Macaca mulatta: one gene and its partner. The protein of the gene in region 2 interacts with the protein of the main gene of each other region in a pairwise test. Links are inferred from orthologs where the notes say so. Each region holds a gene or a part of one and is shown on either strand. Other genes may lie near its edges. The genes, in order: SLC38A7 and SAR1A.

Evidence for each region.
Region 1: the proteins of SAR1A (region 2) and SLC38A7 interact in binary tests that used the Homo sapiens proteins (3 or more experiments, as listed by UniProt). The link is inferred for Macaca mulatta from reciprocal best matches to the Homo sapiens genes SAR1A and SLC38A7.

The regions. Positions count from the first base shown.
Region 1 is NC_133425.1:54,295,455-54,299,269, forward strand, and holds part of SLC38A7 (sodium-coupled neutral amino acid transporter 7), read right to left. Parts: intron 3,501-3,815; coding exon 3,402-3,500; intron 2,132-3,401; coding exon 2,074-2,131; intron 1,840-2,073; coding exon 1,725-1,839; intron 1-1,724. UniProt on the Homo sapiens protein: Symporter that selectively cotransports sodium ions and amino acids, such as L-glutamine and L-asparagine from the lysosome into the cytoplasm and may participates in mTORC1 activation. The transport activity requires an acidic lysosomal lumen.
Region 2 is NC_133414.1:79,473,539-79,477,353, reverse strand, and holds part of SAR1A (small COPII coat GTPase SAR1A), read right to left. Parts: intron 732-3,815; coding exon 628-731; intron 1-627. UniProt on the Homo sapiens protein: Small GTPase that cycles between an active GTP-bound and an inactive GDP-bound state and mainly functions in vesicle-mediated endoplasmic reticulum (ER) to Golgi transport.

The DNA of each region.
Region 1 (3,815 bases), on a different chromosome or scaffold from region 2:
CTCAAGCGGTTCTCTCATCTCAGCTTTTCCAAGTGTTGGGATTATAGGTATGAATCACTGTGCCTGTCCCCTAACACTCATTTCTCTCTCTTTTTTAGAGACAGGGTCTCGCTCTGTTGCCCAGGTTGGAGTGTAGCGGCATGATCATGAGTCTCTACAGCCTTTATCTCATAGGCTCAAGCGATCCTCCCACCTCAGCCTCCAAGTAGCTGGGTCCACAGGTGCATGTCACCACACCTGGCTAATTTTTAAATTTTTTTGTAGAGATGGAGTTTCACCATGTTGCCTGGCCTGTCTTGACCTCCTGGGCTCAAGAGAACCTCCCATCTTGGCCTCCCATAGCTGAGATTATAGGTGTGAACCACAGTGATCAGCCTTATCTCTTTCTAATTTTTTTTTTTAAACTGTACTATTACACTGGTCTTTAAGTAAACAATAAAAAAAAATTAATTTTTTTCACAGGCTTATTTTCTGTCTCCCCAGTCAGAATATGAGCTCCAGGAGAACAGGGATTTGGCTATTTGCCTCTCTTATTCCTGGCTGTGTATTCAGAGGCTAGAACAGTACTGGCCCAGGCAGCTCCTATTGTCTGTCCATGGAAAGAACTCAGGGGATCCTTCTTCCGGGGTCTCCTAGACTTGCTCACTCATCCCAACCACTCTCCACACTGCAGCCAGAGCCATCTTTCCCCGAACCATCCCCCCTGCTTAAAACGCTTCCTCTCTGACTCCCAGAAGCCCTCAAGGTCCAACAGGATCTGGCTGCCAGTGCCTGTCTGGCCTCACTGCCTGTCACCTGCCCCCATCACACACCACTCCAGCCACGCAGACCTTCTTCCTGGCCCCGCCTCAGTGATTTGGTGTTTTGTGGTTCTTCTGTCTAGAACCGTTCTCCCCCAGCCCCTCCTCTTCTGGCTCTTTCTCATCATTTGGGCCTCCTCTGAGAAGAACTTTCTATGAACCACTCCCAAAGCCACCCATCCAGTCCCATTCATACCTTCCCCATTTTAGGCTGGGTTGGTGGCTCACGCCTGTAACCCCAGTACTTTGGGAGGCCGAGGCAGAAGAATTGCTTGAGCCCAGGAATTCAAGACTAGTCTGGGGAACAGAGTGAGACCTTGTCTCTGCTAAAACAAAACAAAACAAAACAAAAAATTAGCTGGGCATGGTGGCACATGGCTGTAGTCCCAGCTACTCTGGAGGCTGAGACAGGAGGATCACTTGAACTCGGCAGGTTGAGGTTACAGTGAGCTATGATCATGCCACTGCACTCCAGCCTGGGTGACAGTTTCTGAGACCCTTTCTCAAAACACAACAAAATAGAACAAAACAAAATACACCTCCCCGATTTCACTGTCATCAGGATGCTCGCCACCATCTGGAATTCCTTACTGATTCCCTAGTTACTCCTGCATGACTGTCTCTCCAACAAGAATGTCAACTCCATGAGGGCAAGACCAGCTCCATCTCTCTCCATGGCATCCCCCACACTGAGAACAGTTCCTGGCACTTCCTAGGCACCAACTTAGAACTGGTGAATGAATGGATGAATACGCCACTCTCATCTTGGCAGGAGGAGGCCCCAGGCAGGCCAAGTTCAAGCCAGTGCCTGCACAAGTCATGCTGGGAATGCAGGGCTGTCCCCAGGAAAGCTGGGCCCCAGGACCTGCGGACACCTGTGGAAGTGAGAGCACTCCAGTCCCAGGTCTAGGGGGGAGCACTCACCTGTCCCCATGTAGACAGCGAGGGCTATGACCATGGCAGCTGTCACCACTCCACCCCAGGTCTTCACTTCCGGCCGCTGCATGCTGTTGAAGACGGGCACACTGCTGACGTGGCACTGTCCAGGCGAAGGGCACGGTCATGGTGGGGAAATGACCTCACCCCCAGTTTTCAGAGGAAGGTACCTTGGGAACAAAGACCCCAGGGACAAGGGGCAAGTCCTGAGGCCCCTGCTCTGTCCTTCCCCCCAGGATTTCCTCCATCCTGCCTGGGTTCCTCCTCCTTCCTGGGTTCCAACCTGGGGTGGGGTGACCTAAGAGGACAGCAGGGACCTTGCAACTGGCACTGGCACCTGAAATCCGAAGCAGATGGTGGGCATGGCATTGAACACAGCCATCCAGGAAGCCGGCCTGTGAACAAACACACAAGGTGCTGCCACCTGGGAACTCCTCGGAGCCACCAACCCACCCCACACCCTCACTTTTCATTCAGCCTAGCATGGTCTCCAGCAACTGGCATTCTATAGGTTCCACCCACAGAATTCTGGGAACAGGGAAAAGAGGCATCCCTCTGTCCCAGGCCCCGCTGGGAGGGGGCCTGGAGGCTCCAAAAAGCCCCCTAGGACCAAAATCCAGAATTCCTGGCTCCTGGACTGGGGATTTTGCTTCACTGGTTTGTTTCTCTCAAAAAAAGGAAATTTTTTTTTTTTTTGAGACGGAGTCTCGCTCTGTCGCTCAGGCTGGAGTGCAGTGGTGCCATCTCAGCCCACTGCAATTTCTGCCTCCTGGGTTCGAGCCATTCCCCTGCCTCAGCCTCCTGAGTAGCTGGGACTACAGGCGCCCGCCACCACGCCCGGCTAATATTTTGTATTTTTTTAGTAGAGACGTAGTTTCACCATGTTAGGCAGGATGGTCTCTATCTCCTGACCTCATGATCCGCCTGCCTCGGCCTCCCGAAGTGCTGGGATTACAGGCGTGAGCCACTGCGCCTGGCCCTGGTTTTTTTTTTTTAAATAATAAATTCGGCCGGGCGCGGTGGCTCAAGCCTGTAATCCCAGCACTTTGGGAGGCCGAGGCGGGTGGATCACGAGGTCAGGAGATCGAGACTATCCTGGCTAACATGGTGAAACCCCGTCTCTACTAAAAATACAAAAAACTAGCCGGGCGTGGTGGCGGGCGCCTGTAGTCTCAGCTACTTGGGAGGCTGAGGCGGGAGAATGGCGTGAACCCGGGAGGCGGAGCTTGCAGTGAGCCGAGATCACGCCACTGCACTCCAGCCTGGGAGACACAGCGAGACTCCGTCTCAAAAAAAAAAAAAAGGTTTAAATAATAAATTCACCCTCAAAGATATAGAAATTACAGATAAGCACATGCTGGAAACATGGGCAATTCCACCCTGGGATTCCACCCTCAGGTTCCTCCACAACCCAAGGCCTAGCCTCACACTGGTTCATCTGTTGGATGTGGGTGGCAAAGTGCCTCCTGTCTCTGATTCTTGCTCTTCCCTCTAGTAACATGAGATCAGGGGCTCTTTCCTCCTTCCTACAATGACCAAGTCAGCCCTGATGAGCTCATGAGCCTTGAGAAGAGCACCTGTGTGGCCTTCTGGTTCCTGACCCAGCACCTGCTGGGGCCCAAGTGGTGGCTTCTTCCCCATGTCTCCTAGGGCCCTCACCCTCACCTGGTCAGGATGTCCCCTGGGGTCATCTCTTTATCTGGCCAGATGTACTTGATGATAACGATGGCTGTGACGTACCAGGTACCCACGACGCTCAGGAAGCTGCCGGGAAGGAGAGACTAAGTGTCCTCATCCCCAGCTGCCTCTTATCTGATTCCACCCCTAGGGACATCCACCTTCAGCTCTAGTGACCACAAGTGTCCACTGAATGAACCAGGAACTATGCCAAGCAAAGACTCAGTAAATGCCTGAGAAGTAGTTTCAGAGAAACCTGCCACAGCTAGGAGGGAGCTGGACAGCCAAGAGGGGACCCGATCATCATCTCTGGTCATTGGGAAGTGCTGGTTCAGCTCCATGGCTCAGAGACAATGCAGAGAGCAGGGCTCCAAAGCACACCTGGGACTTGAATCAGAGCAG
Region 2 (3,815 bases):
GTGGGCCAGGCGTGGTGGCTCATGCCTGTAATCCCAGCACTTTGGGAGGCCAAGGAGGGTGGATCATGACGTCAGGAAATCAAGACCATCCTGGCTAACACGGTGAAACCCCGTCGCTACTAAAAATACAAAAAATTAGCCAGGCGTGGTGGCACGTGCCTGTAGTCCCAGGAGGCCACTCAGTAGGCTGAGGCAGGAGAATCCCTCAAACCCAGGAGGTGGAGGTTATAGTGAGCTGAGACTGCGCCACTGCACTCCAGGCCAGGCAACAGAGAGACACTCTGTCTCAAAAAAAAAAAAAAAAAATTACTGTTCATGATGACACGTGAAATGGAATACTATTAATTAATTAATTATGCTGGGACAACAGGCATAAATGAGGAGTATCCTGAGCAAACTTGGCCATATAGTCACTGTATGATAGAAAAAACAGTTAATTTATTCAAGTTTGAGCTGAGTTTCCTCAGGACATTGAAAAGCAATGTCTTAGATTTAAAACATTTTCCTCCTGCAACTAGGTCTTTTTGCCAAATGTTAACTGGAATTACTAATTATTGGCACTACTGAGCTATATTTCTTAAAAAAAAAAAAATAGAGGCCAAAAAAGGACAAAGTATATAAACATACATTAAGCTCAACTTTGGATTCCACGAGGCGAGAATGATCTGCACAGTCCACCAGAAAGACAATCCCATTAATTGCTGGGAGATAATTTTTCCAAACCCGACGTGCTAAAAAACAAAGTTTGTAGTTGCATCAGTAAAAAATATACATTGTAAAAATGAATAACCTAATGGTCTTAAAATGGACAAATCTTGGTCAGGTTTCAGTAAGATTAGACTCTATGGATTTCTCCAAGTTCTGGCCAGTATTAATTTAGAACAGAGGATGCAAACTAATGGTCCACGAGTTGAACTTGATTTTTGTAAATTTGAAAATCAGAGTTTCCACCTTTCTTGAAAAACTGCAACATCTGGCAACCCCATGCCTACTTATCCACATGACAACTATCAGCAGGAACTAAGCAGTGGCTACCCCTTCAGATGATGTCTGAACACTTTTGCTTGACAAAATGTCCCTGCTGTCTTACAGTCAGCCAATTTTACTCACTTAAATGACTTGCCTTGCCCCTGGAGCCAAGTTGAATTTGCAACCTCTGAGTTAAAACATCAGGATACAAATTACTTGTCCATGTAACTTTAGTCCCAGTTAGTTTCTAGCCAACTTGTGTGTAGGTGTCTTGACACACTCCTCTGCTTAGCCCTTAGGGAGACTGGGCCTGACAAGTGGTTCAAGGCCCCAGGCCAGTTATCTCAGCCTACCATATTTAACCCAGCATGCCTTAGAAATATTACTTGTTTTTTGCTTGTGACATGAAACGATAAAGGCTGGGAAGCAGTGATTTAATTTTACTATCATTTCTAAGCCATTCATTTCTAGCCCTTGCAATAGAATGAATAACGAAGCATCTCTACATCAGTTATTAATGGTTACCTTTAAAGAGTAGAGTTAGGAAAAAGAGGTTGAAGGAACTTTCCATTTTACTTTCTGTAGTTCTATACCGATTTTGTTATATCAAATCTGCTCTCCTTTTATAAGTTAAAATTTTTAAGTTATACAAAAAAAAAAAGGAACCTCCAGATGTACAGTATTTTAGTAACTTCTATAAAATGGTGGCTAGGTTATTAGGTAAAAGTGTTTCTGTTTAGTAGATTTTCCTCAGTCAAAGAAACAAAACTAAATACATCAATACATTTCCCTTCTTATTTTAACAAAACCTGAAACCTAAATTTATCACACCAAACAATCAACAATTCCCAGTTCAGGTATATAAAACCATCTGGTGTCTGTTCCTTCTGCATTCTCCAGATGGTCTAGGTTCAGTCGTATCTTGCTCTGAATTTAAATTTGTAAGCAGTTACAAATCCTTTTGTGGAAAAGCAGAAAGGACACCATATACCCATTCTTACCCAAATGAAAAAAAATACAAGCTCCTTACATAAAAAAGGAAACAAAATCATTTCTAATCCCTCCATCAAAACACACCCCTTGTCAATATTTTGGTATTTTCTTCCAGTCTTTTTTCTTTACTGGTATTTTATGTGATTATGATCATAATATACATGATTTTTTAGGGCATAAATATTAAATAAATTAATTAAAATGTAATTATATGTTAATGAAATAACTGACTATAAAATTATTAGGCTTAACTACTAGAAATGACCAATGTTGTATTTTACTACACATTGTTTTAAAACTGTATTAGGGCCGGGCGCGGTGGCTCAAGCCTGTAATCCCAGCACTTTGGGAGGCCGAGGCGGGTGGATCACGAGGTCAGGAGATCGAGACTATCCTGGCTAACATGGTGAAACCCCGTCTCTACTAAAATACAAAAAACTAGCCGGGCGTGGTGGCGGGCGCCTGTAGTCTCAGCTACTTGGGAGGCTGAGGCGGGAGAATGGCGTGAACCCAGGAGGCGGAGCTTGCAGTGAGCCGAGATCACGCCACTGCACTCCAGCCTGGGAGACACAGTGAGACTCTGTCTCAAAAAAAAAAAAAAAAAAACAAAAAACTGTATTAGGCTGGGCACAATGGCTCACGCCCATAATCCCAGCACTTTGGGAGGCCAAGGCAGGTGGATTGCTTGAGCTCAGGAGTTCAAGACCAGCCTGGGCAACATGGCAGAAACCCAGTCTCTACAAAAAATAGGTGGGAGGATTGCTTAAGCCCAGGAAGTAGAGGTTGCAGTATGCCAAGACTATGCCACTGCACTCCAGTCTGGGCAACAGAGCAAGACCCCATCTCAAAAAAAAGAAAAAAAAATGGTATTAGCTCAACCTAATGTTTCAAAATGAGATTTCTCCACTCAATGTAGTAACAAGTAAGTAAATCTGACAGAATCTCAATAGTTCCTTTTCCCTACCTTCCCAGAATGTTTATTCTCACATCTTAAATGTTTTACTCCTATACCTACTGTCTTGTCAAATGTGAACTGAGTGCCCATTAGACAAAGACGCCCATCCTGTATGTCTCTAAACACCTGATAGGAATCTGGTAGCCAAAGACATAGCCTGAGTAGGCAAAAAGCACTTCTAAGGAAAGCAAAAAGGTAGAAGGAAATGTTCTACCAACTGTCCCAAATGGATAGAATATACAAAATATCAACTTAGAGTAATCACACATAGTCACTGTACTACTTTTGCAACTTTTGACAAGTCTGAAATTACTTACAAATATTTAAGTTAAATTTCCTACATACTTTCACTCCATTGAATAAAGGATGCAAAAATGCTTGATAACTAAATATATGATACTGTATACCTGGTCAAGATGAAAAAATGGTATAAAAGAGATTATCAGGACAACTGACCAAAAAAAAGAAAAAAAAAGGAAATACAGATTGGATAAAAATAAAACTTTCTTGATTTGATAACTATTATGATTATATACAAGGAGATATCTTTGTTCTTAGAAAACGGCACTAAAGTATAAAAGAGTAAAGGGGCATGATATGCTCACAAACAGTTAATAAAAAGTAAGTATTAATATGTATTATGTAGGGAGGAGGAGACTAACAAATTTGGGCAAAAGGTATAGAAGAAAATACACTGGCTTAGAGCAAGCCTAGTTAAAATGATGAAATAATTACTCTTGTTGAGGCAATACCTATATCTTTTAACGTATTTTCTAGTTACCAGGTAAATTGCGTTAATAAGTAAAAACCTAGTAAAGATTAAAATGGCAAGATGCTGTCCTGCTTTGTAAAAATTTTCAGTCAAGATTTGAGTTGAGTTTGGCTTTATCAGGCAAAT